Struthio camelus: one gene and its partners. The protein of the gene in region 2 purifies or fractionates together with the protein of the main gene of each other region. This does not show direct contact. Links are inferred from orthologs where the notes say so. Each region holds a gene or a part of one and is shown on either strand. Other genes may lie near its edges.

The links.
Region 1: the proteins of ZRANB1 (region 2) and STRN4 purify together in Homo sapiens (affinity purification with mass spectrometry; 4 studies listed by BioGRID and IntAct, with this or other methods). This does not show direct contact. The link is inferred for Struthio camelus from reciprocal best matches to the Homo sapiens genes ZRANB1 and STRN4.
Region 3: the proteins of ZRANB1 (region 2) and CTTNBP2NL purify together in Homo sapiens (affinity purification with mass spectrometry; 4 studies listed by BioGRID and IntAct, with this or other methods). This does not show direct contact. The link is inferred for Struthio camelus from reciprocal best matches to the Homo sapiens genes ZRANB1 and CTTNBP2NL.
Region 4: the proteins of ZRANB1 (region 2) and CTTNBP2 purify together in Homo sapiens (affinity purification with mass spectrometry; 3 studies listed by BioGRID and IntAct, with this or other methods). This does not show direct contact. The link is inferred for Struthio camelus from reciprocal best matches to the Homo sapiens genes ZRANB1 and CTTNBP2.

Annotation. Positions count from the first base shown.
Region 1 is NC_090957.1:1,875,617-1,883,155, reverse strand, and holds the start of STRN4 (striatin-4), read left to right. Parts: upstream 1-4,524; 5' UTR 4,525-5,600; coding exon 5,601-6,136; intron 6,137-6,275; coding exon 6,276-6,349; intron 6,350-6,454; coding exon 6,455-6,533; intron 6,534-6,627; coding exon 6,628-6,801; intron 6,802-7,539. UniProt on the Homo sapiens protein: Calmodulin-binding scaffolding protein which is the center of the striatin-interacting phosphatase and kinase (STRIPAK) complexes.
Region 2 is NC_090948.1:4,424,990-4,432,393, reverse strand, and holds the start of ZRANB1 (ubiquitin thioesterase ZRANB1), read left to right. Parts: upstream 1-4,397; 5' UTR 4,398-4,638; intron 4,639-7,404. UniProt on the Homo sapiens protein: Ubiquitin thioesterase, which specifically hydrolyzes 'Lys-29'-linked and 'Lys-33'-linked diubiquitin. Also cleaves 'Lys-63'-linked chains, but with 40-fold less efficiency compared to 'Lys-29'-linked ones.
Region 3 is NC_090965.1:9,366,298-9,373,989, forward strand, and holds the start of CTTNBP2NL (CTTNBP2 N-terminal-like protein), read left to right. Parts: upstream 1-4,676; 5' UTR 4,677-5,414; coding exon 5,415-5,489; intron 5,490-7,524; coding exon 7,525-7,632; intron 7,633-7,692. UniProt on the Homo sapiens protein: Regulates lamellipodial actin dynamics in a CTTN-dependent manner. Associates with core striatin-interacting phosphatase and kinase (STRIPAK) complex to form CTTNBP2NL-STRIPAK complexes.
Region 4 is NC_090942.1:28,493,226-28,500,968, forward strand, and holds the start of CTTNBP2 (cortactin-binding protein 2), read left to right. Parts: upstream 1-4,741; 5' UTR 4,742-5,071; coding exon 5,072-5,140; intron 5,141-7,743. UniProt on the Homo sapiens protein: Regulates the dendritic spine distribution of CTTN/cortactin in hippocampal neurons, and thus controls dendritic spinogenesis and dendritic spine maintenance.

The DNA of each region.
Region 1 (7,539 bases), on a different chromosome or scaffold from region 2:
TGAGGAGGGAAAAGGAGCGTCAGGGAGGGGAGGGGCAGGGCCCGGACCCCCCCCCTCGTTAGCGACCCCCCCTCGTTAGCGACCCCCTCCTTGTTAGGGGCCCGCAGGTGCCTCAGAGGCAGCAGCGCTCCCAGCTGAGGCTTCGCGGCGTTGGGACACGAATGGCCACGGCGACGGGAGGGGAAGGGTGTTGTTGCCACAGCAACCCCATCCCTAGCAACACCGTACCAAGCGATAGCAATGCTCGAGCCCTTTAAGTGTACGTGTGTACACAGCCAAACACATGCACGTACCTGTATGTCTCTCTATGAGTGTGCACCCCATACGACTGTGCGCGTGCCTGTATACCTCCGTGTACCACTGTACACACCTATACACCCATGCAAACGCTTGTACACCTCCATGTACCAGTGTACATAGCTATATACCCATACGAACGCTTGTATACCTCCACATTACCAGTGCATACAGCTATATGACCCTGCGCACGCCTGTACGTCTCCCCGTACCACTGTACACCCCTATACACCCATGCGCATGCCTGTATCTCTCATGTACCAGCGTACACCCCTACACCCCTGTGTGCACGCTTGTATACCTCCATGTGCTGGTGTACACCCCTATACACCTGTGCGCACAGCTCTATACCTCCATGTGCCAGTGTACACCCCTATACACCTGTGTGCATGCCTGTACCCCTCCACGTGCCAGTGTACACAGCCCTACGACCGTGCGCCCACCTGTATATCTCCACGTACTGGCTGGTGTATACCCCTATACGCCTGTGTGCATGCCTGTAGACCTCCCTGTACCAGTATAGACAGCTATATGGTTGCATGCACACCTGTCTACCTCCGTGTGCCGGTGTACAGCCCTATACAGCCGCGTACGCACCTGTATACCTCCACGTGCAGGTGTACTCACCAATACACCCGCACCTGCATCGCTCCACGTACCGCTGGACACATCCATCGGCCCAGGCGCGCCTGTATTCCTCCGCGTGCCGCTGTACACACCTGTCTACACGTGCGCACACCCTTTTACCCCCCCGCTCCTCCGTGACCCTGCACACCCCTATAGACCCCCGTACAGCCCCGCCACCCCGTACCTCCCTATAGCCCCCACACCGCCCCGTGCCCTGGTGATCACCAAATCCCCCCCGTGTCTCTCTTCCCCCATAGCCCCCTATACCTCCCCATACCTCCTATAGCACCCCCCTACCACCCGTACCCCTCATAGCTCCCTATAGCCCCTCATACCACCTATAGCCCCCATAGCCCCCTATAGCTCCCCATACCCCTAGAGCCCCCCCATAGCCCCCACACCACCCCATACCCCGGTGACCACCATACCCTGCCGCGTCCCCGAACCCTCCATACCCCCTATAGCCCCCCCATAGCCCCTGCACCGTCCCGTACCCCGGTGACTGCCATACCCTGCCGCGTCCCCCGTGCCCCCCCGTACCCCCTATAGCCCCTATAGCCCCCCCATAGCCCCTGCACTGCCCCGTACCCCAGTGACCGCCATACCCCGCTGTGTCCCCCGCGCCCCCCGTACCCCCCTATAGCCCCTATGGCCCCCCGTACCCGCTATACCCCCCTATAGCCCCCCATACCCCCCTATAGCCCCCTATACCCTCCCTGTGGCCCCCACAGCCCCCCCACCACCCTGTACCCTGGTGACCACCATACCTCACTGCGTCCCCTGCGCCCCCCCGTACCCCCTGTACCCCCCCTATACCCCCCTGTGGCCCCCCTATACCCCCCTGTGGCCCCTGTAGTCCCCCCATAGCTTCCGCACCACCCCGTACCCCAGTGACCGCCATACCCTGCCGCTTCCCCCACGGCCCCCGTACCCCCTATAGCCCCCCGTACCCCCTATAGCCCCCTATACCCCCCCTGTGCCCCTATAACCCCCCCATAGCCCCCGCACCACCCCATACCCCAGTGACTGCCATACCCCGCCACATCCCCTGTGCCCCCCTGTACCCCCTATATCCCCCTATAGTCCCCTGTACCCCCTATGTCCCCCTATACCCCCCGTGGCCCCTATAGCCCCCCATAGCCCCCGCACCGCCCCGTACCCCGGTGACCGCCATACCCTGCTGTGCCCCCCCCGTACCCCCTATATCCCCCTATACCCCCCCGTACCCCCTATATCCCCCCATACCCCCCCGTACCCCCTATATCCCCCATACCCCCCAGTGGCTCCCACAGCCCCCCCATAGCCCCCACACCGCCCCGTACCCCGGTGACCGCCATACCCCGCCGCGCCCCCCCGTACTCCCTATATCCCCCATACCCCCCGTACCCCCTATACCCCCACACCCCCCCGTGGCTCCTATAGCCCCCATACCCCCCCGTGGCCCCTATAGCCCCCCATAGCCCCCGCACTGCCCCGTACCCCGGTGATTGCCATACCCCGCCGCGCCCCCCCGTACCCCCTATACCCCCCTATACCCCCCGTACCCCCTATATCCCCCATATCCCCTATACCCCCTATAGCCCCCATACCCCCCCGTGGCCCCTATAGCCCCCCATAGCCCCCGCACTGCCCCGTACCCCGGTGACCGCCATACCCCGCCGCGCCCCCCCGTACCCCCTATATCCCCCTATACCCCCCGTACCCCCTATACCCCCATACCCCCCCGTGGCCCCTATAGCCCCCCATAGCCCCCGCACCGCCCCGTACCCCGGTGACCGCCATACCCCGCCGCGCCCCCCCGTACCCCCTATACCCCCCATACCCCCCGTACCCCCTATACCCCCCCATACCCCCCGTACCCCCTATACCCCCCGTACCCCCTATACCCCCCATACCCCCCCATACCCCCCCATAGCCCCCCATAGCCCCCGCACCGCCCGTACCACGGGGCGCCGTTGCCCCGGCAACCGGCCCTCAACCACCCCCCCCCCGCGCCAGCCGCCGCCGCCTCCCCCCTCCCCTCCCCTCCCCGCGCGCGCCTCTCGACGTCACTTCCGGCGGCGGCTCCCTTTGTGGCAGGAAGCGGCGGCGGGCGGCCCCGGGCAGCGGCTCCCTTTGTGGCAGCGGGCGGGAGCCATGATGGAGGCCGAGCGGGCGGCGGCGCGGGCCCAGCCGCCCCCCCCCGAGCCGCCGCCGCCCCCCCCCGCCGCCGCCGCCGCCGAGCTGAGCCTGCCCGGCATCCTGCACTTCATCCAGCACGAGTGGGCCCGCTTCGAGGCCGAGAAGAGCCGCTGGGAGGCCGAGCGGGCCGAGCTGCAGGTAGCGGCGCCGGTACCGGGGGAGCTGGGGGGGGGGCGGGGGTACCGGAGCCGCCGCTGCTGCTGCCGCCGCCGCCATCTTGGGAGGAAATGGCCGCCCGGAGCCATGCCGGGGGCGGGACCGGCAGCCGGCACCGGGATGGGGGGGGGACCGGGCACCGGGGGGAACCGGGACCGGGAACCGGCACCGGGGGGGAACTGGGGGTGGGGAACCGGGACCGGGGGGAACCGGGCACCGGGGGGAACCGGAACCGGGGGGGAATTGGGGGTGGGGAACCGGTACCGGGGGGGAACTGGGGGTGGGGAACCGGGCACCGGGGGGAACCGGGCACCGGGGGGAACCGGAACCGGGGGGGAACTGGGGCTGGGGAACCGGGACCGGGCACCCAGGAGGAACCGGCACCGGGGGGGAACTGGGGGTGGGGAACCGGGACCGGGGGGGAACTGGGGGTGGGGAACCGGGACCGGGGGGAACCGGGCACCGGGGGGAACCGGAACCGGGGGGAACTGGGGGTGGGGAACCGGGACCGGGCACCGGGGGGGAACCAGGCACCGGGGGGAACGGGAACCGGGACCGGGGGAGAACCGGGACTGGGGGGGAACTGGGGGTGGGGAACCGGGACCGGGCACCGGGGGGGGAACCGGGACCGGGGGGGAATTGGGGGTGGGGAACCGGGACCGGGCACCGGGGGGGAACCGGTACCGGGGGAGAACTGGGGGTGGGGAACCGGGACCGGGCACCCAGGGGGAACCGGTACTGGGAGGGAACCGGTACTGGGGGTGGAGAACCGGGACCGAGGGGGAACCGGGCCCCGTGGAAGAACCGGGACCGGGAACCGGAACGGAGGAGGAACCGGGAACCGGGCACCGGGGGGCAACCGGGAGGGAACCAGTACCAGGACGGAACTGGGGGTGGGGAACCGGGACCGGGGCGGAACTGGGCACCGGGGCAGGGGGAGAACTGGGACCAGGAACCGGAGGGGGGGGAGGGAACTGGGAATCGGCACCAGGAGGGAACCAGTTGGGGGGGGGAACTGGAAGGGGGGGGGGAACCAGCACCGGGGGGGGGGAGCGGACCAGGGGGCACCGGGAGCCGGTACTGGGTGGGTTGGGGGTGAACCAGGAACCGACACCGGTGGGGAGGGGGCACTGGGAACCGGCTGTGTGGCTGCGGGGGGGGGGGCATGTTACTGGGAGGCCCCAGGGTCTGGGGGGGACCCGCTGCCTTTGTGTGCCGGTATTGGGGACCCCCCTGCCCCGGTAATGGGGTACAGGGTGCCCCCCCCCACTCCGATAACAGGCACCATGGTAACGGAGACCCCACCCCCACCCCGGTAACGGGGTCCCCTGCTATCAGGGCCCCCCCCCCCAATATTGGAGGTAGCTGCCCCATGCCGGAGCACCGGCTGTTCCCCTGCGCCCCGATGGTGCTCCCGGTACCGTCGGCACCGTTCCCGGTGCCAGCACTCTCGGTACCATCGGCATCGCTCTGGTACCGGCAGTCCTGGTACCATCGCTACCAGTGCCGTTAGCATCACTCCGATGCTGGTGTTCCTGGTACCGCCGTTCCCGGTACCATCGGCATCGCTCCGGTACCATTGGCACTATTCCTGGTACCACCGCTGCCAGTGCCGTTGGCATCGCTCCGATGCTGGCGTTCCCGATACCGCCGTTCGCAGTACCATTGGCGTCGCTCTGGTACCATCGGAACTATTCGTGGTACCACCACTGCCAGTGCTGTTGGCATCGCTCCGATGCTGGCGCTCCCGGTACCATCGGCATTGCTCTGGTGTCGGCAGTCCTGGTACCACCAGTACCGTTTCTGGTACCGTCGTTCCCGGTACCATCGGCATTGCTCCGGTGCCAGCAGTCCTGGCACCATCGGCACAGTTCCCGGTGCCATCGCTCTGGTGCCAGCACTCCTGGTACCATCAGCATTGCTGTTGGTGTCAGCATTCCTGGTACCATCGCTGCTGGTACCATCGGCGTTATTCTGATGCTGGCATTCCCGGTACCATCGCTCTTGGTACCATCGGCGTCACTGGTGCCAGCAGTCCTGGTACCATCGGCACCGTTCCTGGTGCCGTCACTCTCGGTACCATCAGCATCGCTCTGATGCTGGTGCCTGCAGTACCATCGGCATCGCTCCGGTGTCAGCAGTCCTGGTACCATCGGCACCATTCCTGGTACCATCGCTCCCAGTGCCCACCATTCCTGGTACCATCGCTCCCAGTGCCATCAGCATCCCTCTGATGCCGGCGCTCCCGGTACCATCGGCATTGCTCTGGTGCCAGCAGTCCTGGTACCATCGGCACCGTTCCTGGTACCATCGCTCCTGGTGCCATCGGCATCGCTCTGATGCTGGCGCTTAAGGTACCATCGGCATCACTCCGGTGCCAGCAGTCCTGGTACCATCACTCCCGGTACCATCGGCATCACTCCGGTGCCAGCAGTCCTGGTACCATCACTCCCGGTACCATCGGCATCACTCCGGTGCCAGCAGTCCTGATACCGTCGGCGCCGTTCCTGGTACCACCGCTGCCCACGCCACCGGCATCGCTCCCAGTACCACCGGCAGCGCTCCGGGTACCGCCGGCAGCGCTGCAACCTTCGCGGCGGCCGCCTCCTCTCCGCTCCTCCTTCCCGCAGCCCGACGCCTCCGGCAGCTCCCTCTTTTTCCCGTCTTTTTTGTTTTTCCCGGGAACGCGGGGTCGGGGGGGGGGACGACCAGCGCCGCACCACCGGCGCCGCACCACCGGCCCCGCTCAGCGCGGCCTCGCCTCCCGCCAGGCGCAGGTGGCCTTTCTGCAGGGCGAGCGCAAAGGCCAGGAAAACCTCAAGACGGACCTGGTGCGGCGGATAAAAATGCTGGAATACGCCCTGAAGCAGGAAAGGTAGGAGAGGGCGGCGCGGAGGCGGCTCCGGCGCAGCCTCGGCCCGAAGGGGAAGACGCGGAAAATCCCGGTTGTGCCGCACGCGTGTGTTTTATTTTTTCTTTTTAACCCCCTCCCTTTTTTCCTTAAATCCCCCCAGGTCTAAATATCACAAGCTGAAATTCGGCACCGACCTCAACCCGGGCGAGAAGAGGCCGGAGGCGGCGGAGCCGGGTGAGGGAGCCGGCGGAGCCTCGTCCCCCCCCCCCCCCCCCCCACTTCTCCGGCGCGCTGACCCCCCCCGTCGCCCTCCCCTCGCTCCGTCCTCTTCTTTCCCAGCCGCCAACGGCCCGGCGGAAGCGGCGGCGCCGGACGGCAGCCCCTCGGCCTGGAAGGAAGGACGGCAGCTCCTGCGGCAGTGAGTGCCGGGAAATCGGGGGGGTGATATTTGAGGGGGGGGGGGCTTGCCCCGGGCTGTCCCGAGCTGCCCGTTCTCAGCTCCGCCGCCGCAGGTACCTGGAGGAGGTGGGTTACACCGACACCGTCCTGGACATGCGCTCCAAGCGCGTGCGCTCCCTGCTCGGCCGCTGCTCCGCGGGCGTCAGCGGAGCCGCCGACGGCTCCGAGCCGGCGCTCCGCGGCGGAGACTCGCCGCTCGTCAGGCGCATCGAGGAGCAGATTCAGAGGTGAGGGGGGGGCTCCGGCACGGCACAGCCCGCTCTGGCTCGGGGGGGGGGCTCCGGCTCAACCCGGCTCGGAGAGGGGGGCTCTGGCACAGCCCGCTCCGGCTCGGAGAAGGGGGCTCCGGCTCGGAGAGGGGGGCTCCGGCTCGGAGAAGGGGGGGCTCAGTGCAACTTGCTCCAGCTCGGAGAGGGGGGGTCTGGCTCAGCCCGCTCTGGCTCGGAGAGGGGGGGCTCCAGCTCAGCCCGCTCCGGCTCAGAGAGGGGGGGTCTGGCTCAGCCCGCTCCGGCTCAGAGAGGGGGGGCTCGGGCTCGGTGTGTCCCGCTCCGGCTCGGAGAGGGGGGGCTCCAGCTCGGCCCGCTCCAGCTCAGAGAGGGGGGGTCTGGCTCAGCCCGCTCCGGCTCAGAGAGGGGGGGCTCGGGCTCAGTGTGTCCCGCTCCGGCTCGGAGAGGGGGGGCTCCAGCTCGGCCCGCTCCCGCTCAGAGAGGGGGGGTCTGGCTCAGCCCGCTCCGGCTCAGAGAGGGGGGGCTCGGGCTCGGTGTGTCCCGCTCCGGCTCGGAGAAGGGGGGGCTCCAGCTCGGCCCACTCCGGCTCGGAGAAGGGGGGGCTTAGTGCAACTTGCTCCAGCTCGGAGAGGGGGGGTCTGGCTCAGCCCGCTCTGGCTCGGAGGGGGGGGGCTCCAGCTCAACCTGGCTCGAAGGGGGGGGGCGGGGCTCCAGGTCGGCCCGCTCTGGCTCGGAGAG
Region 2 (7,404 bases):
ATGCCTGGCATCACTTCTGAGAGCAAAGTCCCTAGGGAAGCCAGAAGAAAACTTGTGACTGTGAAAATACTTCCTGAAGGATGTTTTCTGAGAGGTACCTAAAAGCTGAGCCGATAGAACGGGTAGGATTAGCAAAAACAGTTCCCGCTGGATGCAGCCATGAGGTCGGTAACTGCCCCCACAGCTGGTTGCCTGTGGAAATCACGGGGAAGGAACCTGCCTTCCTTTCAGGGGCCGCAGGCCTGCTGGGAATGTCTCAGGCTCTCTTGCAGGTCTCAGGGTAACTGCCTGTAACAACCCCCAGCTTGCTGCCGCAAGGGAGGCTGGGTTTAGTCAGGGCATTATGTCTTCTCTGACTTGATCCTCTCCTGAATAGGAGGTATAGTGATCCAGCTATCGTCGAATGTTTTATGTTTCATGCTAAAATGGAGAAAAGAACTACAAATATATGAGATTTACTGGGCCTTGAAGGCTGGGGCTGACTTGGAGGGAAGGTGGTAAAAGGGTAACAAAGCAGTCACCTGTTTAAAATACCCTGTTTTCAGTAGTTTCAACAGCTGTGCTTCCTTTGGATTTTTGTGCATGTCTTTTCCTTCCCCTTTAGGCAAGTGTTTAGTTCAGTTGTAAGTCTTTCTTGATTGCAAATAGCCTGAAAATACTGAATAAAGCTGTGGCAGGAGCAGGATTGAAGGGGTTGGCCTGGGTAGCGAGTTCTGCGTATTCAAAGTTCAGCTAGTGAGAAATAACCATCTGGCGGACACGTACGTCTCTGCTCTCGGATAAGCTGAGGAGGAATTGCCTAATGGGAGCCAGTGCTCTGCCTGACAGCGAGTAGTTACCAGGGTAAAGAGAATTACATAAGAGAGAGAGCTGTAATTATCTATCACTAGCTAGATGTAATCTTTGCACCTGGGCTGAGACAATTCTGCTGCAGTACAATGCTGTGTGCTAGCATGAAACAATTTGGCATTTGTCTTTTTGCTTAACTGAAGGACAGTTTTGCTTAACCGAATCCCCCAGATATTGCATGCTACTGTGAAATGTTTCAATGCTTTCCTTCTAATTATAGCTTTTTGTATCATTTGCTCACTTGTGAACAGGGTGAATCAGAACAGAAACGTCAGGGAGGTTTGAGGATAGAAACCTTACTAACAGTGAGCACCAAGAGAGAAGAAATAGGGCATTTTATAAGGCTGTATGGTGCAGCATGCTCTCATTTAATAGGAGATAGCTACAATTTGAAGCTGGTTTGTTCTGAAAAAATCCTAAATTCACCAATCCTTTACAAAAAGGAAGGGAACAACCAAGCCATCTGCCTACCTGGCTGCCAGCTAGGCTGACACCTTAGTGGCACAAAGGGTTCCCACGTCAGGCAGCCTGGCTGGTGGTGCAGCTGCTGGCTGGCACAGACCTGGTGGACAAGCTGATGAGGAACCAGCTGGATTTCTGATCTGGGTTCTGGGGCTATTTCTGTGAAATTTTATTTCTCATGTATGATGTTCTGAAAATCTGTGAGTTCTGATTTAAAAAAAAAAAAAAAAAAAAAAAAGATTTACTATCTAAATTTTTCTGAGCTGTTCCAGAGCCAGGAACAAGCTCTTTTTACTCTAGCGGAACTGGAAGGAAAGAAAAGAGATCTGAGGCCTATGAGAGTTGGGGATAGTGGGGAAAAAAGAGTGGGCATTAGAGGAACAAGGATTGAAGATGTCAGAAGAGCGGGGAAAAAAGCAAAGCTGAAAGATATATATGTGCAAGTTATATTTTTACATGTGAATAAGGGTGCATAGTTTTGCTACAGGTTTACTCTGTCACAAAGGGCAATTGCATTTCTTACATGCCCAGTTAGTAAAGGCAAATAATGTCCAAGGCATGAGTGAATTCATCTCTGCAAAAAAGAGCTCCTAAAATAAAATACGAATCTGCCAAACTAATATGAATGTTCCAAATTCATTACTAGGGAGTTAAAATTTGTCCTTAAGCAGGTGGAATGAAACTAAAATTTTGGGTGGAATATATGAAACTAGTACTTGCATACAGTTTCTGCTGCCTGTCATAAACATAGAATTATCTTTCTGCTATTAAAAAAAGAATAAAGATGATCAAATACCAGATCTATTGAGAACTGAACTATCAGTTCACATAGATTTTGATTTTCCTCCAAACTGTAAGCCTGAGAGCTATTACTGGATAACATATATGTGTAAATATCGATGTTCTAAACTGTTGAAAGGTCATTCCTGTTGTATTCTGTTGTTTAAACTCTAGAAGAAATGGCAAATTCCTTCAAAGTAAACCCAGCAGAAGATGCTAACGGTTTTTGACATAAAGCCAAAGAGATGGTTTGAGGAATAGTATTGTCAATAGCTACAGCTCGTAAAGTTAAAGTCTTGTGATTTGGAGATAATTTCAAAAGCGAATTCTGGATGTAACAGCTCCAATAACTATTTGCAAACTCCGTTTTACCATTTATGTTTCCCTTCATATGCTATATAGATACTATATGTTACAACAGATACCTATTTCATTACCTGGCATGTTTCTATTCTGCAAAACTACTATGCAGATATGGAAATCATTTGCTTCTAAAATTCTTTCAGTATCTTTTTTTTAGTTGGTCGTAATTTTTCTTTCCTTTGCAACAAAGTGGTCTTTGAAGCGATATGAGTCTAGCACCATTAAACCTCTTTCCTGCGTTGTAAACTTATATTACACCCTCCTAATGTGTTGCAGTGCACTGTATTTTGTTTAAAATATGTTTCAATGAACATCAAATGACTTCCTGACAGATTTAGGAAATATTCTAGATGAACTTGAAGTGATATTTTCTCCAAGATTATGCATTCCTTTTATTTTCATCTCTTGTTTTATTAAGTCTAATCTATAACAGTTATTTGTGGTAATTTCCCATTGTTAAACAGTTGTAGTGGCGTTTAGGATTTACCACTTCACTTATTGCTCGCCTAGATGACCGTTTTTCCATCATCTTGCCTAGATGATAAGAACAAGGGACACGTTTTCTGATTTTTTTTCCTAATCATGAAGATGGCATGATTGTTTATGATAAGGAATATTCTTTTTACATTCTTACATGTGGGTGTGTGAAAGAAGATGCAGTTGTCCCAATATTTGCTGCAGCTGAATATATTTAACTGTTGGTGCGTTTCTGAAAATGCAGGCTGTGGGGCCCGAGTGGTTCAGTGGCGACAGGAAGAGAATTTAGTAAATAACCTCTCTGAGAAAGACAAATCGCATTCACAATTTAATTAGTTTTCTGCAAACATCAGGGGAAAAAAATGAGGGGAGGGGGGAGGTAAACGGGCACAAATTTCTCTTGCAGTCGCCGTTAAGTGTTTAATGTGACTCGTCCCGACTCCAGGGCCGGCTGGACGTCGGCTGGGCAGGGGGGTTCTGCCAGCGTCTCCCCAGAGCCGCGGCTCGGCCGCAGCACAGCAGGGGCCTTTTTCTCTGCGCTGGACGAGCGAGCGGGGACGGATCCCCTGTCTTTGAGCGGGAAGCGGAGAAAGGGCAGCGCGGACGGGCCGAGGGCTGAGTTTAGGCTGCGGGTCGCCCTTTCCCCTGGAGGGAGGGATGGGTCTTGCTGGCCAGAGTTAATGCTTATATATAGCGTTTACCCCGCTGAAGCGGGAAGGGGTACAACAAGCATGCTGAGGTGATGGTTGATTTGTTGGAGGCCCTCGACGAGGTGGTTCGTTTGGCGGTAACTGAAAGAATTGGTCGGGGTCGGGTGAAGTTTGGGGTAGGTGCAGCCTGGGCCCCGGTACTTTTGAGAGGCTGCTCGTGGTGAGGGACTGTTCCCCTGGGAAACTCAGTGTCCACCTATCGCCCTTTCAGACTAAACAATCTCACTACGGCTTTTAACGCGACCCCTCCGCTCCCCGCAGGAGCGGCGTCGGCCACGGCCGACCGGCGCCGTCCACCTGCGCCCCGCCACGGAGGGAAATTTGTGGAGGGGGGAAAAGGCAGGTGCTGGGATGAAGCTACAGCCCGGAGGGATGGACGACAGCATCACCAGGCCCTTGGGGCGAGCACGGCTGAGGGGGGCTGAGGAGAGCGGGGGTCTGAGGGGAGCCGGGGGCTGATGGCGGCCCCGCGGGGGGGGGGGGGGGGAGGGGGGGCGGTGCTCGCGCGCGGGGCGGGGCGGGGCTTCCCGCGGCGCCCGGCGAGGGGCGGGGCGAGGCGCAGCGCCCTCACAATAAGGCGCCCCCGCGGCGAGGATGACATCAGCCGTTCTTCCCAAAGAGGCGCGCGCTCATTGGCGGAGGGGACGGCGGCGGCTCCGCCAATGAGCGCGGGGCAGGGCGGCAGGCTGGGGTGACGTACGGTCTCTTTGCCGTATGGGGGTTTATTTTGCTTTGGGCAGCTTCAGTCGCCGCCATTAGAGGAGGCCGGGGAGCGGGGCGAGCGGTTCCCCCCCCCCCCTCCCCCGGCCTCGCCGAGTGGGCGCGCCCGCGGCCGCGCCAGCCCGCCGCGCTGGGAGAGACCATGTCCTGAGCGGGGAGAGGACGCCGCAGCCAGCGGGCCGGGGGTGGCGCGGGGCGCGGGCTGCTTCCAGCGCCGAGCGTGTGCCTGAGGGACGGCTCCCGGCGGCGGCGGCGGCGGCGGCGGCGGCGCGGCCAGGTAAAGCCACTCTCCCCTACGGCGCGTACCGGGGAACGGCCGGCGGCCCCGCGGCTGCCGCTGCGCCGTCGCCGTAAGCGGGGCGGGCTGCGCGGCGGGAGAGGGGGGCGGCGGTGGCGGCGGCCCTGAGCCGGGGACAACCTGCCGGTTGTCCTAAAGAGGCGCCTGAAGAGCTGCGTTAAAGCAGCGCCAGCCTCAGTACAAAGGCAGGAAACTCTTGTGACTCTGATTTATTTATTTATTTATTTTCTCTCTCTCTCCCCCAACCCCCCCTTTGCGATTGCTTCTCCGCGCTGCGGTACCTTGATTACCGGAGTGAGATCATACCTCTGTTGCCTGCTACTTCTTCCGCCTGTGGTGGTGGGTTTTTTTTTTGGGGGGGGGGGGAAGAGTTGATTTTCCTTAGTGTGTGTGTGTGTGTGTGTGTGTGTGTATATATATATATATATACATATATATGTTTTTGGACATGTGTCTGCCTCGATCTGTATACCGTAGTAGACTAGATGCTGTGAACTACTGGATTGCGTTTGGCGTATCTTGGACGACAGTTTCCACGATACTGTTTGTCATGCGATATCGCGTATTGATCAGGAATGAAGTACGGCATAGGAAGGATTCCCGGTTCGAGCTTGTTTTTTTATGAACTGTATTTTTAAAAAAGAAAATCAAGTCGATAAAAGAAAATAAGGTAAGCCTCGCTAGTCCGTTCTCCCAGCGTCTTTACCCTGCTCCGCTTTCGTGCTCCCACGCTGCAGCAACTTCCTGTCGGGACGAGGTAAACTTCTCCGAGGAGGTCACGGAGGTGCCTGTGCGGAGCCGGAGCAGCGCCTTCTGCGTGGCGAGGGGTGCTCTTTCCACCCCTCAGCCTGGACTGCACGCGCTGCTGCCTCTCCGGAGTAGTCGCTGCCCTCTCCGGAGCAGAGGGGCTGGGTGAATGATGGGAAAAATTAATCTGGGTCTCCTGCTTGGCAGATGCAGCACAGCTGCTAGGGCCTTTTTACCAGCACGGGTGCCTTTTAGTGATAACAGTGAAGAAAACTTTTCCTAAAATTCGTAGGAATGGGTATTGTAAACAAAACTTTTTGACAGGCTGCATTTGGACGGTCTCTGCTGTTTTGTTATCTAACGCATTGCAAGCAGTGAAACTGGCATATGATTTAACAGGTTGATCTGTTTGTTGATGCAGAAATTGAAAGGTGAGATGTAGCGTGTGCAATACCTTCCCTTCCTGTTGATTTCCCTAATGCATACTGCTATAAAGCTTGTTCTGTTAGTATGTAGGCAGAACCTTGTAACAGTGGTTCAGGAGGGATTTGTCACACTTAATTTTGCTCTTCCTTCTGCAAATCTAATATTTTGCCTTCCGTGACTGCAGAAGAGGTTTGTGAAGCCTGGTTTTGGTTTTTGTTTTTGTTTTTTTCAGTTGTTGCCCAAAGCAGGGATACAGGTGAGCCGCAGGCAGTGTTCTGGAACTCTTTTTTATTTGTCTGCTTCCTCAGGCCAGGCTGAATTGGTGTCTTTTAGCATGCAGAGTCTCGCATTTCATATGTAAAAGATGACTTTGATTTAACTCTGTCACAGCAGTAACAGGAAATCATCTTTTGGATCAGTTGTGTTTTGTAGGATTTGTGAAATTTAAATTATGTGGTGTAATTCTCTTGAAGAGAAAAAAAGGTTTATTACCTTAACTTTTCTCCTGACTTTTAAATAAGGACAGGGAGAGGGGGATGACTATTCAAACTGTAGTCTGTTATTGTATTGTATTGTCTCACTTAGCATTTTCTCAGAAGTAGTTAGAAATATTAATTTAATTTGAACACTGAGTGGTGTAAAAGCATCAATGGTATTCATCACAGAAGCATAGCTTAAATTGCAGACTAGTTAAAACACAAAATTGGTCAGGGTGACGTTTTCAGTCTTGCGTATGGCCGTTCTAGTCTTGCATTATTCAGGATGTAAATTCCTTTGGTGGGGGGGGGGGGGGGAGAAATCCCATCCCTCTTTGGAGCTCACTGCAAGACAGTGAGGTCTGCAAATACATTAGAAGTTTAAGTAGAAAGTACATTGAAGTATTGATTATATGAGAAGTTATTTTTAATGCAGTCAAATAATCAGATAGGCATTCAGGCACTGTAATGTGGAATTTACTAGCTCCTTAAGGCGATGTTACCTTAGGTGTTAGCTTTCTCTTTCCAACTTCTCTTTGCCGTATCAGTTTTGCACTGAGTTGAGATTCTGCAGAACTTCAGAGCAGTACATTCTTCCTGTTGTGACATTATATTAGTGACAGTAAAGCGTTTAAGCTGCTGGTACAGATTTCTTGTGTTGACCAGTTCTGTTGGTAGTCTCACGTCCCCTTGTCCCCCCTCCCCAAATTTTTTAAAGAATTTGTTATTTTGAGCTATTCAAAATGTATGTCAACAAGTAATCCCCACTTTAACTGAATTAATTACAATTCACAGTCTCCTGTTGCTAAAATGCAACTAAACTTTAGTTTGGCAGCTGAAAATGGCAGACCTAGCTGTAATAAGAGTTCTTGATTTAAATTTTTCTCAGCGGTACAGATGAAGAAGGAAAAAAGGAAAATTGAAATGAGAATACCTTTTTTTCCTTTCGATGTTTGCTTAAACAGCCGACGAAGAGCTTACTGCTTTACTTGTCAAAAGTCATAGTGTGATCAAGCCAAGTTAAAGAGCAGTGGTTATAACTTTGTAATGTCAGTTGGATGGGATTTGTTATACCTTAACTAAAAGATAAAAGTTT
Region 3 (7,692 bases), on a different chromosome or scaffold from region 2:
TTTTGTTGAGCTCATGCTCGTAATGATTCTATTAAAAAAAAAAACTGCAGTTCCTCTTTCGACATTTTAGTTTTATTTTGTGGCTGCTAATCGGAAAAATGTTCCAGGCTGGTATTTCTGAAAAATCAAAGCTTCCATTCAGCCACTTGGTGGTATTCAGAGACTTCCGAGTATAGCGTCACCCGCTTTTCTGCACCGTGCCTTTGAGAGGGCTGTTTCTGTGTGCGTGGAGAGCGGTGAGTGAAGCGTAGTAGAAGCTCTCTGACACAGGAGGGAGCTGCAGTCCCACAAACAAGAAAGATGTTCTAAAATTCACTCCTTTTTTAAGTTATCGTAATTCAGACAGCCGGATGCTGTTCGGCCTGGCCACAGGGCAAGCAATCAACTAAAATTAGCTGGAGTGATCTGGGACTGCAAATATCCACCAGATACCCACTGCTGTCCTGATTCACACCTACAGGCATTAGCTTCATTTTTTTAAAGTTTTGGAAACATTGGACTTCAGAAGCTATTGACTTCTTATCCCAACCATCTGCACTTTTGCATTGGCTTTAAGTTCATTTCAAAATACATGTTAATTCCAGTGACTTGCAAGTATGAATCACCAGGCTGACACTAACCATTAGATATAATTCTCATAGTCTTTCCCCTTTTTTTCTGAAGCATGGCTTTTTCCAGTGAGATGACTTGCTGTGCCAGTTCATAGCCCAGACCTCCCTGGCAGGCTGCGCGTCCTCACTCACAGGATGTGGTGAGCTGTCAACTTTTCTGTCCAACTTCCTTCATGTACATGACAGAAGGACATCTGCCCTAAAAAACATATTCTAAGGGTAAAGAGAGAGACAACAGGTGAAAAGCACAGAGCCAGGAGAAGCACAGGGTGAGAGAAAGTGGATTGTGATTAGGGAAAACCTAGAGGTTTTAATGTAATAGCTGCCTGGCAATAGGCACGATGATATGCGCGTCCTAGCAAAGTTAGAGAAGGTAACCCATCGGCTTTCTTTACTCCAGGCTCTGAGACTGCTAGAGCAGGGGCATGGCGAAAATTCCAGTATTTATCAAGGTTGGGAAAAAAATCCATAGTACTCAGACAACTCCGTCTAGACAAAATCATATTGTTCTGAACATACTAGACAGGAGACTGTGACAGTTAGAGGTTTTATTGCTAGCCATGTCACTGTATAAAGTCCTGCTACCACGTGACACCTTTTTTTTTTTTTTTGCACGATTCAGAATTTTCTGTTTTAGAAACTGCTAGTTTCTTAGAAAATGCCAGCGTCACACAGCGCAAGCCCTGTGCTGCAGGCATAGCACCCCCCTGAAGTCAAACTCTAAGCGGCAGGAATGGCCGTTAAATACTGTTGTCAGTTCTGGGGCGCCTGCAGAAAGGGGCACACTACCAATCCCGAGCACTTCTCGTAGGAAGTTCAGGGACCGAGCGATTTGGCGCGTTCTCCACCAGAAGGGCCAGCTCTGATTTCGGCTGCCGCGCCGCTGAGCAGCTTCGGCAGCCAAAACCTGCTTCCCTCAACAGCGTCACGCGGCAGTGACCCCGCTCTGGCCAGGCAACCGCGGGCTGCGGCTGTTCAAGCAACAGTTGCTGATACCTGCTGGCTTCTTTCCTCGTTCGATAGGTAAAGAGGTGAAAATACACTGGGCTGCCCAGCGCGCGTCCGCGGATTACCTGGCTCGGCCGACGGTGTCAGGGCACGCGAGGTCGGCGCTGGCGGAGGAGCTGAGAGAGGCAGGCAACGCGCTCCAGCCCACGGTCGCGCCGGGTGGGTCACAAATATATATGAGCACCTTCAGGCAAACCGCCGGCCTAGAAAGTCAGGGAAACTTCATGTTTTATTGAAACTAAGGCTTTATGTCAGCTTCCTCGTAAGCGGCCGTGCCCTCCTTTCCGGACGCTTCCGTGGCGCTGGGAAGAGGTGCTTCCCTCGGGATTTCAGAGGCAGCGGAGGTGACCGGAGAGGAACAGAGACACCCGCCTCCCTTCCTGCCCCCGCGCTAAGCTCCTCCGTGGCCGGGCGCCCGCTCGGCCCGCGTCGCGCTGAGGGGCGACCGGACTCGTCGGGGCTGCACAGCCGACCTGCGGCGCTTCTCGCCCGCCCACGGGCGCAGGCTGCGGCCAGCAGGGCCCGGCCCCGGGCACAGGCCCGGCAGCCCCCCCGCGCTGGGAGAGCTCCGTTTTCCCCGGGACAGCGGCTATTCACAGGGCGCGGCGCAGGGGGAACGCGGGCGCTGGGGGTCGGGGGGCCGGGGGGACACGGCCCGCGGGGGGACACGGCCCGCGGGGGGACACGGACCGCGGGGGGGGGGGGGGCAGGGCCGCCGAGGGTCCCGCCCGCCGCCCCGCGGAGCCCAAGGCCCGGCTCGCAGACCAGGCCCGGGCCGGCTCCATGGAAACGGGCCGGGGGCGGCACCGGGCCGCACCCGCGGCCCCACCCGGCCCCGCCCGCGCCGGAAGTGACGCGCCAATCACGGCGCCGCGCTCCCTCCGCCGCCGCCGCGAACAAAAGGGATTTGCAGCCCCCGCCCCGCTCCCGCCTCGCCCCGCCCCCGCCGCCTGATTGGCTGCCCAACCCGCCGCCGCCACCGCCCGCCGGCCCACGCCCTGGCCCCGCCCACCCCCGCGGCGGATTGGGCGACGGGCGAGGCCGGCGGCGGCGCTGATTGGCGGCTGCGCCGTCCTTCAAAAGGCGGGCGCCAAGGGGCGGGCCCGGCTGGATGGGCGCGGAGCGGCGCGGAGCGGCGGCGGCGGCGGAGGAGCCAGAGCCAGGTCGGTGGCGGCGGCGGGGCCGCTCGGGGGCGGGGGGGCGGCAGCGGCTTGGCCCGGCGGGGCCGCGTCCGTGTCCGCCTCCTCGGCGCGGCCGGGCCGGGCCGGCGCCGCCCCCTCGGGCGGGCCGCGGCAGGTGCGCGGGGCCCGGCGGGGCCGGGCCAGGCCGGGCCGAGGGTTGCGGAGCCGCCGGCCGGCCGGTTTGGGGTGAAACTCGAGGCTTTCGGCGCTGTCGCGCCGCCTCGGGGTGAGCGTCGGCCGCCGCCGCTTTCGGGGGCGCCCCCGGCCCCTCCCTGCTCCGGGCTCGTTTCTGCCCTGGGCCCGGCGGGCGGGCAGCGTCCCGCCCCCGGGGTTCGGGCTTTGGCAAGGCTTTGGGTGCGGGCTTTAGACACCCGCCCCGTCTAAAGCAGCGCTTGGATAAATACTTGAACGCGGCGGGTTTGGGGGAGTTTCCTTTCTTCGTGCTCGTCGTTGTGAGACGCAGAGATGGGGGGGGGGGGGTTCAAACGCTGCTCGTCTGAACCTAAAACCTCTACGGTTTTGATACGGTGCCAGGCAGTGTTGTGAACGCACGGTTGCAAGGTGTGTTTTAGCTCTTTATTGTATAAATGCGTTGGGTGTAGTTATTTTAGCAGCTTGTTTGAGCATTGCACACAACGCCTGCAGCAGATCTCTGAAGTTCTGCGCTGGGAGGTTTTCAGGTTGGGCTCTCGGAGGAACGCGGTCGCCTGAAGGTATCTGCTGGACGACATCGGCTGCCCTGCAGGGAGACAACGTATGGAGCTGGTTCAGGGTTATAGAGACAGAAGCGTTGTTGAAGCTGCACAGTGGTAGGCAGGGCACGTGAAGGGAAAGGAGATACCCTCCTTCAGAGGCAAAATAGCCAGTTATGCTCTACACAATGAGGCAAGGAAGTGGAAGAGATTTGGGCCAAGCGCCTGCAGATATCTTGAAGCTTCGATGCGACGAGCGCTCCTGTTTGTGCCTCCTGAGCTGAGCGTTTAGGCTCCTCTGTTTAGCGCTCGCCATGTAGTAACCCAAACCTTCGCCGAAGTCCGTGGGTCGAGCGCTCTCGTTGTGCTGGCAGAGCTGGTTAACTTGGTTTGTGTGTTTGCGTGCGTGAGTCCCAGCAGCATGCCATCTCTGATGGTTTCATAATCATCACAGCACGATTCAGGGCACTGAGGAAGCGTCGTAGTCCAGAAGCTTATCACTTTTTTTTTTCCTGTTCTTGAAGTGGCGCATGCCAAAGATAGCTTACCCTGGTGTGTTTGCTTGTATGGTTGTACTATGCTTAAACTACTCTTGATATTTATTAAATACTTGGAAATAACTTTATAAAGTTTCATCCTTTTCATGGGTGAATATGGGTCTGTTGAGGAGAAAAACTCTTTTAACAGTTAGTAGCGCAGATAAAAGGAAGTTTACCTTTAGGCAAGCAGTAAGTAATTATCTTTGTTTATGCTCTAAACGCTTGTTTGTTGTCCAAAAATGGTGGTATATCTCAGACTCAGGGAAAATATTTATACCATCAGACTAAATAATGACGGCCTTGTGGTTTGTGATCTGTGCATGATTGGACCAGTTAGGATATTTCACTGAATGTGAACTGGTAGTATGCCTTGGATGTTTCCAAGTCTTGTTTACAAGCTGTGAAACTGTATCTCTTGTTTAGAGGTTCTTAAATAATGGGCTGTTTTCCCCAGCTGACAAGTGCAGATCTGCTTGGCAGAGTGGGACTGTTTGCAAGGGGAAGAACTGGCTGGATGAACGTGGTTGGAGTGATATTAAAGAGAAATGGGAAGGGAGAAGGAGTAGGGGCACCTGATGGGAAAGAAATCTTGGAACCTGTGATGTTTAAAGGCATGGAAGGGATTTGGGTTTGGGTAGGGAAGGAGGAACTTATAGGTATGTGGTTATTGGCTCTCTGATTTGGAGTTGCTTGTTGTTCTTGCAGAAATTATAATCTAGAATGAACAGAGCTGCCTTTTTCCTACATTTGTCAGTTCTCTAGTATGGAGTGGCTGTAGAAGTGAGTGCTTGATGGTTACAGATCCGCTATAATGGGTACAGCTTTCCTGTAGCAGGAGGTTGCACGCAATGTGACTGAGGCTTTACCACTTACTACTAGTGTTTTAAGGTGGGGCTTATTTGTTATGAAGCTGATTTGGGCTCATACACCTAGAAATGTGTCTGAAATGGCTTATTCCTTTAGCACCAAGGAGGCAGAAGTCACAATGTAGTTTAGAATATAAAATCGAAATGGTTACTGCCTAAACTAATTGCTTTAAAATATTGAACTGCTGTAGGTAGCTGTCCCTGCTTTAAGAGTGTGCCTTTTGGTAGCTAATGGGGTGATGTAGCTGCAGGGTTCCATGTTGTCTTCATTTGAAGAAGTGCAGACTTTGTTCGTCTTCAAAATTTACTTGTACAAGTGTATACTTAGCTTATATACTTTAAGAAGTCAAAGAAAAATTCTCATTTTATTTCTAGCTTATAACACTGCAAAACTAGTAACTTAATGATTATCTGGCAAAAAAAAAAGAATTTTGCTACTTCCCAGAAATACTGATTCAGTCTTAGCTTCTGTGAATGTAGTCTGAGCAAGACCTGAACTAGTGTTTGAAATTAAGCCATGCATCTCCCAGGCAGGTGTTCGGATGGTCCAGATATTTTAAATATGTCCAGGAAAGTAATGCAGCTCTTGACTGTAAGTACCAACTTAAGCATGCTAAATGTTAAAAGCTAAAAATAGGCCTGCTCTTTTCTCACTCTGTATGTTTGTTTATGTGTGTATGTATATATATATATATATATACAAGTGCATATATATATAAACAAATATAAAAACACTTGTTTCTTCTATTATGGTGTCTTCCTTTATCTGTAAGATGGATAAGCTGTAAATCACTCCTGTGCTGTAGAAAATGAGATCTTAGCTAGCAGGCTTTTCGGGGGGTGACAGACCTGTTGACAGAAATATCCACAGACGAGGGAGGCTGTGTTCTGGGTCCTCAGCACCTGTCTGTAAGGCTGTTCCCGTGGATTTAAAACTGTGGCTGTTACTGCTGAACAGTGACCAACGCTGCAGTGTCCCACTGAAAAGCGATTTGAATCGGTACAGTGAGTTTAAGTTAGACTCTTGTGTTAGTTCTTGACCAGGCTTTTTTTTAAATCTTGGCAAATGCTTATGGATTTACCAAGCAGTTTATAGTCACGCATTTTCCTCTCAAACGTAAGTTAATGGCTCTGCAGGAGAGAGCATACACGTGGCGCTGGCACATCTGTGTTGTCCTGTTATACTGGTTTTCAAGCGACTACAGTATCTCAAACAATCATGATTGTTTTCTGTTAAGTTCCATTTAATGGTCCGTGCCAATGATGAGGCTATCCAGAAAAATCAGTAAGAAACACTGCTGCTTCATGGAGCCTCCGGTAAAAACCTGCATGGAGCAGGGGCACGACTGCGCGATGGGGGACTTCTCCAGTTAGCGTGGGGGTGCAAAATGGACTTCAAATTTCTCTTGCTGTGCGAAGGCTACTTATTTTTTTCTGCAAGCAGAACTTTCTGTTCCCAGCAACTGGAAAACTGCTTTGGCATAAACAAGACAGAACATGCATTTGTGCCTAATTCTCCAGAGGCACAGTTATGCAAATCGGTTGTAAAGTGGTAGTGACTTCAGAAAATTTGGAATTCAGTTGAATGTTTTAGCTGGATACGTTTCTTTAGTAAAAGTTAATTTAACCATTTATCTTCTGTTGGTAAAGTGGAGTTTAGTATTACTGAATGGCTTGTTCATCCTGTAGTATTTTAATTGACATTAATAGCAGCAAAAGATGGATGTGAATTGGACTAAGGAAAGGCATATTTGATTATTGTCTTGTGAGGCACAAGACTCTCATAATGGGGTATATTTGCATTGGAGGCTTGGACTTCCTAAAAATCGATGAAATGATTGCCTTTGTTAATAAAATAAAAAAATAATGTAATACAGAGGCTTATCACTAGGTCATATTAAGTGTATCAGTGAAATAAGACAAATTAACAAGCTTTCTGTATGCAAATGTCAAATGAAGGTTCTTCATTCTGAGGTGGACAGTAAAATTATATTTCACAAATGATGGTGATATTGAATCAGATTGAAAGAATAGTAATTAAACGTGTGGGGTTTTGGCATTGATTTTTTTTTTTGTAAAATGGTTTGGGCCTGTTCCATAAGTAATGCATAATGACGTTCCTAAAAAGCATTTTGTAGTGCTGAAATGTTAACTTAACCATTACATTTGTGGAAGATGGCCCAGTTTAGACTGCATTAATCATTGTTCTTCAGTAGTGGTTTTAAAACTTGAACATGTATGCCTGAACTGAGCACGTGAATAAGTTCAGTGTGGTGTTTGCAGCTGCGTGATCCAGATGTGTAATCCAAATTAGTATGGCTTTTAAATATCCATATTTTTTCCTCTCCTGTTAACTTTGGCTACTTCTCGGTGAATATTGTACTGTCATTTTAGCCCTTACTTTCTGGTTGCACCATTCATGACCCCTTGGGAAAAGGTGGAGAATGAATCTTCTGCAGTTTGTCTTGGAGGTTAAAGAGAAAATGTTTGCATGGTGTGTTCTGCCCTTCCCTTCAGGACAAGCTGCAGTGTGAAGCTGAAGTTAAAACAGAGATTATATGTTGTAACTTAGTATATGGATTCCAATACACAGATAAATACTCAGTAAACGATTTTCTATTTTTCAGATTTTCAGGATGAATCTGGAAAAACTCAGCAAACCAGAACTACTGACGCTGTTTAGCATTCTTGAGGGAGAATTAGAAGCAAGAGATCTTGTCATAGAAGCCTTAAAGGTATGTCATACCACGATAGAAACAAAAATGGCAACAGTATTACTACAGGTTCTGCAAAAT
Region 4 (7,743 bases), on a different chromosome or scaffold from region 2:
TACGTTTTTTGCCTGGAAGTGCTGATGCCTGTAAAAGGAGATTAGTCATCATGCCTGCTCATGAAAACTGGCTCTGAGAATTCTTGATTCCTGCACCTTTATTTCTTCAGTTAACTTTCACTTGTGGATCTACTTCACATTCCTTTCTGGTACCCAGACTTCAGGAGAAGATGAGTGAGAGTGAGAAATGATAGGAGGTTTCTTTCTTCTGAACATTTTCAAATATTTTTGGTCTGAAAATGTTAACTCTTCTATACCTTTCAGGAATTTAAAATGCTGTACCGCCTTTTTTGTCTTGACAGCAAATGTGGATAGCTCCTCTTCTTCCCATAGTGAAACAGAAAGAAAACAATCAAGAATCCAACTATTCCAGACTTGAAATATATTGATAGCTTAATAGAAGCTTATAGCTTTCAAGGCCAAGAAGATCAGTGTGTGATCTCTTCTTTCGCATAACACAGACTATAGGACTCCTCCAAATTAAACGCTGTTTTAAATCCAAAGACAGTACCCATTTTCAGGCTCTGGATTCTATTTTGGGCTCAGATTTCTAGAAGTTAGGCATAGCAAACTGTCAAGTTTTAGGTGTGTAAGAGTCCAGCTGGATCTAGCTTCCCTCTCCATGTGTTAAACTGAAGTCTCATTCAGAATCCTCCTGCTCAAGGTAAACTTCCTGAATTGTCACTTGTAATTTTTAGACATTTCTAGAATGTTATAGTATTGGCAGAAAGAGATTTTGTGTCATTCAAGGTAAAGCCACATTGATAGCAGTTTTCTCTTTCTATAAAGATGCTTAAGGATCTTGCTTAAAGATGCTAAAGATCTTTGGTCTTTAGTATGATGGGAGATTTGCTCCCATAGATTAGACACTACCTAATACTTCATTTTATGCTTTAAATATTAAAATACAATTCATAAACATTAACATAACTTGTTTGGGAGATGTCAGTAATGCTGACACACAAAATACCATTTTTAATAGAGTGTCTTCCCTTCTTTTTGTCCACTTGTGCTTTTCTAATCAGATTATAACCAGTTTTCAGCATTCAAATCATGTGAATCACATCACTGAGTTATAGTCATACTCAGCACTGTTGAATTTATGCTCACAAATCAATAATTCCAATACTTGTTATTTATTATCTATGCTCCTTGTGCATAGTCAGTTAAAGCATCTCTTCTATTGATGCCCACTGGAGAGTCCATTTTGCTCTCAACAGTATAATTTTATATCTCCTTTTCACCTTCCCTTTCGATGTTCCTTTAACATCCTCAGAAACAACAAACATGCCTTGTGGAATATTGATCCTCTTTCTATTGAATTTCACCCAGACCGTATAGTGCCATCTTCCAAAAAAAGTAACCCCTTCTTCACAAAACCCAAGCTAATGTTTCACTGTCAGAATCTTCTGTATTGCTTACAAATCTCTAACACCAAATTTCCTTGATGGGGTAATCTGGATTATGCTGTATAAATTTGATTGATTAGCCCTAGATGAGGGTGATGATAGAAGAAATGCCTTCAGTTAGCACTGGGGTGACCTTTGAAAAGATTGTAGTGATATAATGATTGCTTAGTTTTTTCAGATACCTCATTTTCCATAAAAATTTACCTTTTGGCTTCAATGTCTCCTACTTGCTTTACACTCAGACACAGGTTTATCTTTAGAAAACAGTGAATAAAATACCATTTCGATATTTTTTGTTTTATAAGAATAGTTAGTAACAACATGGCAAGGCCTCGATATACTGTATGATTTAGATGCAAAGCAATTTGCTTCCCTGCCAGTGTAAAGCCAAGCCATACATTTTCTATCACAGCAGTTGCGTGCTAATGGAGGGAGTGAGCACACTGCTCGGTACAGCAGCTGCATCCTGTAACATGTGGACATTCCACCTTTGCGTGCCAGTTCTCTAATCATAGGAAAGAAACATATTTAAAGCTCAGCTGAAGGGCCTACTCCTAGGCTTGGCCGTTCCTTTCTGTCACTCAATCCCAGTAAAACTGGGAGTAGCAGAGAAAGAGTTAGTTATTTTCAGTTTGCCAGCTACCAGCTACTACTAAAATAGGGAACACCTTCCTCTGAGAAAAGCACCTCCTTTGCTTCAATGTAGTCATAAAATAGAAGAAAATAGTCTGTCAAAGCACAGGCAATTTCTCCTGCCAGCAAGGCTCTGTGTTAGAGCTTGGCCATGTGTTAGAGACATTTTACTGTGCATGCAGCCATAGCAATGACAGTGCATTATGGGAACAGTCACCAAGTTGGGCTGACCATCTCTCCAAACTCATATATTATATGCGTAGATGCTACATTTTTGAGAGTGTAAAGCCAGTCCTGAAAGAGAGGATGCAGTAGCATAAACAGAGCAGCCAGAGAATAAGTAACACATTGTTAACAATCAAGGGGAGAATATTTCTTACGTTAGAGATGGTCCTGGGCCTGAAGGAGTTCTTCATGCAGCAGAACGTCAGACTTTTGCACCCAGCCGCCATCACGGACAATGTGGTAATGACTGCTACCCAGCATGAGAATCTGCTCACAGCAGTGATTAGTAATATCTAATGTGGATTTCAGTGCTCTCAAGCCACCAGTAAGCCTTGTTGCTGTCATTAGGGGGGAAAAGTTAAGAATTACAAACACGCAGTAGAGGCTCATACAATAACAAAAATCAATAATATTTTCAAAATGGTGTGATGATTAATTTAGCAGCATAAAGAAGAAATCTAGATCATTCCTCCTTCAAAAGCAAGCCTCTGATCTTTTCTGCCACAACAGCAAGTCAAACTACTTCCAACGCTTGGATGATATGCTGGATGTTAGTTGTATGGGGGCGGGCTTTTAGCTGAAGTCTTCCTGGTCCATCCATCCTATTAATTTTTGCTGGCTGAGATCTGAGACTTACTCCCCCTTCCCTCTCAGAAATAATTTCTAAATTTATCTTCAAATGAGGAAAGAGAGATCAATTCTCAAGCCTGAGATGGTAAGCTATGACTAATCTAATATTCATTATTATTATTTTGATAAATGTTCACTTGGTAATTGATAAAATATCAGCTAAACCTCAGAGTTTATGGTCTCAGCAGAGCAAGAGATAAATAGTGCAGCCTTTGCTTCATCACTCATGTGATGCAGACGGACTTAAAAAATAGCACTTACACAGGATGTTATGTGAATGCTTTGTACTAGCTCAGTTAGAAAGGCAGTCTAGTTACTGTGATGGTCAGCAGATGATTCTAACAAAAGTTAAATACCAGGGAAATACTGCAAATGATAAATGTAGATAGGAATTAATAAGTGAAAAGATATTCTCAAACCATTTCAAAACACTATAGTGTTTAAAACCCATTTGGAGGGGAGTAAGTATGAGAAAGTGCATAGGAGATAAGTGACTTTTCCTTAAGTTTCTTAATGACATGCTCCTAGAACTTCATGCCATCAATAAAGTAAGCAAGCATAAATTTATATTAAAAAACAATTACACGGTATTTGAGTTTGGGGAACTGAGAAAAATAAGCCAGTTTAGGCTCTGTGCCATCAATGGTGTTTCTCAACTTCAGCAGTGGAAGGGATGTTAGCAAACAGTATAGTTAAAAAAGTGTAAAACTTGAGTAGGAAGAGAGTTAGGTGGTTTTCATGCCGGAAAAAAAAACAACGCATCTATTTGTTTGGAGTTTATCTGCACTGTAACGGATCCTATGTACTGAATTCTGCTCACTCTGTTCAGTGAACATTTCCATTATAGCTGAAGTTCATTCTATCAGTTTATCATTGGTTTGTCTTATGGGTATGTAAAGGGGAAAGTTCATGCATGTTTTTACTTAACAGCCTTAGGTACAGCATGCTTGGAGGACCATTAGCTGTCTTTAATGAAGGGAAGATGCTGGTCCCTTTCTGTCTGCACCAAGTATAGACCAAGAATTGAGTATAGACCAAGACCTGAAGCAGCCCTAGTACACATGGAGACAAGCAAGGCTCAGTGGGAAAAGTTGTATGACTGTAGAATAAATAATGTCCTGGATTCTGTTTAGAATGGATTTGAGTTGGTCCTAGAGGAAGGTACATTCAGTTTTGTTTTTGGTATATGGCTAGCTAGGTGGGGTCCCAGAGTGGGAGAAAAGCAGTGAGGCAAGTCCTCGGGAAACACCCCTTCCAGCTGCTGGGGGACGTGCGGTTCAGCCTAGGTGGGTAGCAAGTGAAAACCTTTCTGGGGAGGAGTTCAAGCAAGCTTTGAGGCAGGTACTGGTCTAGAAAGACAAAGGGCACTGCCAGGCCCGGGTGCGCTCTTGTCTGGCACAGGAAGGTTTTAACTTGGCCCCAGAGTGCTAGGCCTGGATTAAGGTCCAGCGTAACACAGGCTCTGAAGCCTGCCTCGCTGGAAAATACAGGACTAAGCAAGGTCTGTCAGCCGAAATGTGCTCCCCCCGCCCCTCCACGGGAGGTCTGAGGAGAGGTGCTCTTTCCAGTGAACTCCCTCAGTCAGCACCACCAGAAAGAAAAGGGTATCGGTAAAGAGGTCCCCTTCCCCAATACACTTCAGCTGCTTTAAGGATCTAACTGGGCAGGTGAGCCAAGCCCATTGCAAAAGCTCTTTTTTTTGTTTTCCTCCCTTCCCATTCCTTTCTTTTCATTCCGCTACTCCCCAGGCGCAGGGGCGGGAAGGGCGGGAGAGGCGCGGAGCGGAGCGGGGCGCGGCGCTGCGCGGGGCCTGGGCACTCCCCTCCGCCGCCGCCGCCGCCACCGCCGCCGCGGCGGGGTCCCGCTGCCCCTCCTCCGCCTGCCGCGGGGCCGGCTGGTGGCGGCTGGGGGGTGGCGGCGAGAAGGAGGGGAAACCCGAGCGCCTCTGGATCGCCGTCGCCCAACTCCGCGCGTCGCTCGCCTCGGCCGGCAGACGGGGCAGGCTGGGCTTCGGCAGCTCTCGCTGTGAGGCGCGGCGCCGGAGGGGTTAAGCGCCCCGCTCCCGGTGGGCTTGGTGCCGGCGGGGAGGGGGTTAAGCGCCTGGCGGCGGCGGCGGCGGCGGCTGCCACTCGGCTCCGCTCCGCGCTCCGCGCCGGAGCCGTTACAGCGGGAAGATGGCGACGGAAGGCGCGAGCGGCCAGCCGGGCTCTGGCGGCCAGGAGGACTCGGCGGCCACGGCAGCGGTAACCGGCTCTTGCGGGCCTGGGGGCTTAGACCCAGCCGGGGCGAGGAGGGTTCCTGTGCGGATGGGACGAAGCAGCGCTTGGAGACCTGCCTCCCCCGCTCCCTCCCTCCGCCCTCCTTCTCCCCCGGGGCGGGACGGGGCTCGGCTGCGGCGGACCCGCCGCAGCCGAGCCCCGTCCCGCCCCGGGGGGGGGGGGGAGAGGAGAAGAGAGAGGGGCGCGGGATGCCTGTCCGCGGGCGCGGAGCGGCGGCGGTGCGGTGCTCTGCTTGCCGCCAGCTGCCCCCCTTCTCCCCGAGCCCCCTACGGGCTCCCCCCATTGTTCCTTCCCGCTGCCCCGGCGCGGGGTCGGCGTGCGGCGGCGAGGAGCGCGGCGCCCGCCAGGGGCACGGAGGAGGCGGCGGGGAAGGGCGCTGGCCGGGCAGGGTGACGGGGCGTCGGGGGGCGGGGTGGGGGGGGAAGGCGAGAGGGCGAGGCGCCCGCGGGGCTGCTCCGTCCGCTGCCATCTCGCCTTGCCCTCCCCCCACCCCCCCGCCTTGCGCCGCTTGCCACAGCGAGGGGGGCTGCGCCCCTTCTCCCCGGGCGGGCTGAGGCGGTGACAGCGCCCGGGGCGGTGGGAGCTGTCAGCCCGCGGCGGGGGAAACGGCTGAGCTTAATGCTCGCCGGGCGGCCGATCCCGCAGCAGCGAGCTTTCCTTTTCGCTCCCTTCTCCCCGTGTCTGTCTTATTGCTCTCCTTGGTCGTTCCCAGAGCCGTGGCAGCGCCCCTTCGCTGTCCGCCCGGTGTGTGGACATGGGCACGGCGTGGCTGTGGGGGCCCGGCGGCCCTCACCCCGTCAGGGCTCTGCCTTAGGGGCAGAGCTGGCTCCCTGCTTAGAAAGTCCCAGCACCCGAGCAGAAAACCCACGTTATGTCTTTCTCCGCAGGTGCTGAGACACCTTGAGGGAAGACAGACACAATGTGGTGCCCGTCCGTGTAAACTCTTTGAGCGGAGCCTTTTGCTCCGCTGCGTAAATTGGCAAGCGATAAGGCTTCTTTCTGCTGCTCCTCAGGTAATCGAGCTGCAGGAGAGCAGAAGTTAGCCTGCTCAGGTGTCCACTCGTTTAGTTCATCCTGGCTTCTCACCTGTCCAGTGACCCCGAACAGGGTAGAGCGGTTGCAGCGCCATCTCCCCCCCATGCTCTTCTGTACCCACAGAGGAGCATCCCAGATCTGCTGTAGTCACATCTGTGGCATTTGCTTGTGGATTGTCTGGTGTTAATCAGCTTGTGTTAATAGTCCAGTTGACAGTTATCGTTGAGAACTGGATGGCGAAGTCCACTGTCAGGCTGTATTCTCAAGGGTTGTAGATGCTTTTCATTGTAACGAAACACATTGTTTAGGATAATAAAATAATCAAGTCCAATTATTTGTGAAGGTAATGACCCAAGAAGGGAGGATGGTACTAGTATCTGTGAAATTGAGGATATTGTTAATATTTGCTTTATTTTCTTTCAAACAGGCACTAGTTCTTCTCTGAAACCATGTTCTAACTGTATACTTAATCATCTTTGTGCTTTAAATTCCAGACTGTTGTCCTAAAAATTGAGTTTTACTTTAAAGAAAAAAAGGAATCCTTACACGATGAATATTTATAACATCACTGTCTTTAAAAACAACGACTTAACTGTGATATAACTGAATATTAAGGTGAAAATTCATAAAAGCAAAATATTAAATACTTGGAAGATGAATTTTGAGCAACAATTCATTTATAATGTAATTTCTTTAGTATACTCATCTTAAGTTTTAGTTTTAAGAACTCAAAACAATAGCTCAGAAACAAGTAATTATCTAATGTTGCACTTTTAGGCAATGCAGTGTAAGCCACCTATGCAATTTGATGATCTCATTGTCTAAGGTAGGAGCGATAGCTCTACACTGCACACTGTTTTTAGAAATACTTTCTAGTATCCCTTTAGTTTTTAAAAATAACCTCTGTGTTCCTCTATAACTTAAGTAATAGCTGTACTTAAGCAATGACAATATTTTTAAAAAGCTGACTTTTATTTTTAATTTGCCTTCAATCCTTAAATATTTAATATTCCTTGTCATCTTTTTTTCCCTGCTGGTATAAACTTTAGATTTTTTGTTTCCTTTTATTTCTTGTATGGGAGAGTAAAAAGAACTCTTCTATGCAATTAAAAGGTTTTAAAAAATATTTATACAATACTCTAGCGTGCCTTTTGAAGGGTTATTTTGAATAGCTTATTTTCTGTCTCAAACTCAATACAAAATTAGGAATTGAATCCTCTTACTTGCTGTCAGGATTACAGTAAGCATCTAGGTGACTATTTTGTAAGTAATGCTAAACTTAAGTTTATAATGAAATATTTTATTTTCAATACACTTTTACTTTTTTTTTTTTTAATTCTCAGAACCCTGAATGCACAAACAGTGCAGAGAAAAACTGTAGGAACGATAATTTGTCATAGTAATATATTATTGTGTGAAATACTGTGGTGTAAGTAGGAGGAATATAACACAGTAGGATTTCCTCATACTAAATGCTGTTCTGATTACGTCTGTAAGTAGCATTACTGCACAATAAGGCTTTTTTTGCTACT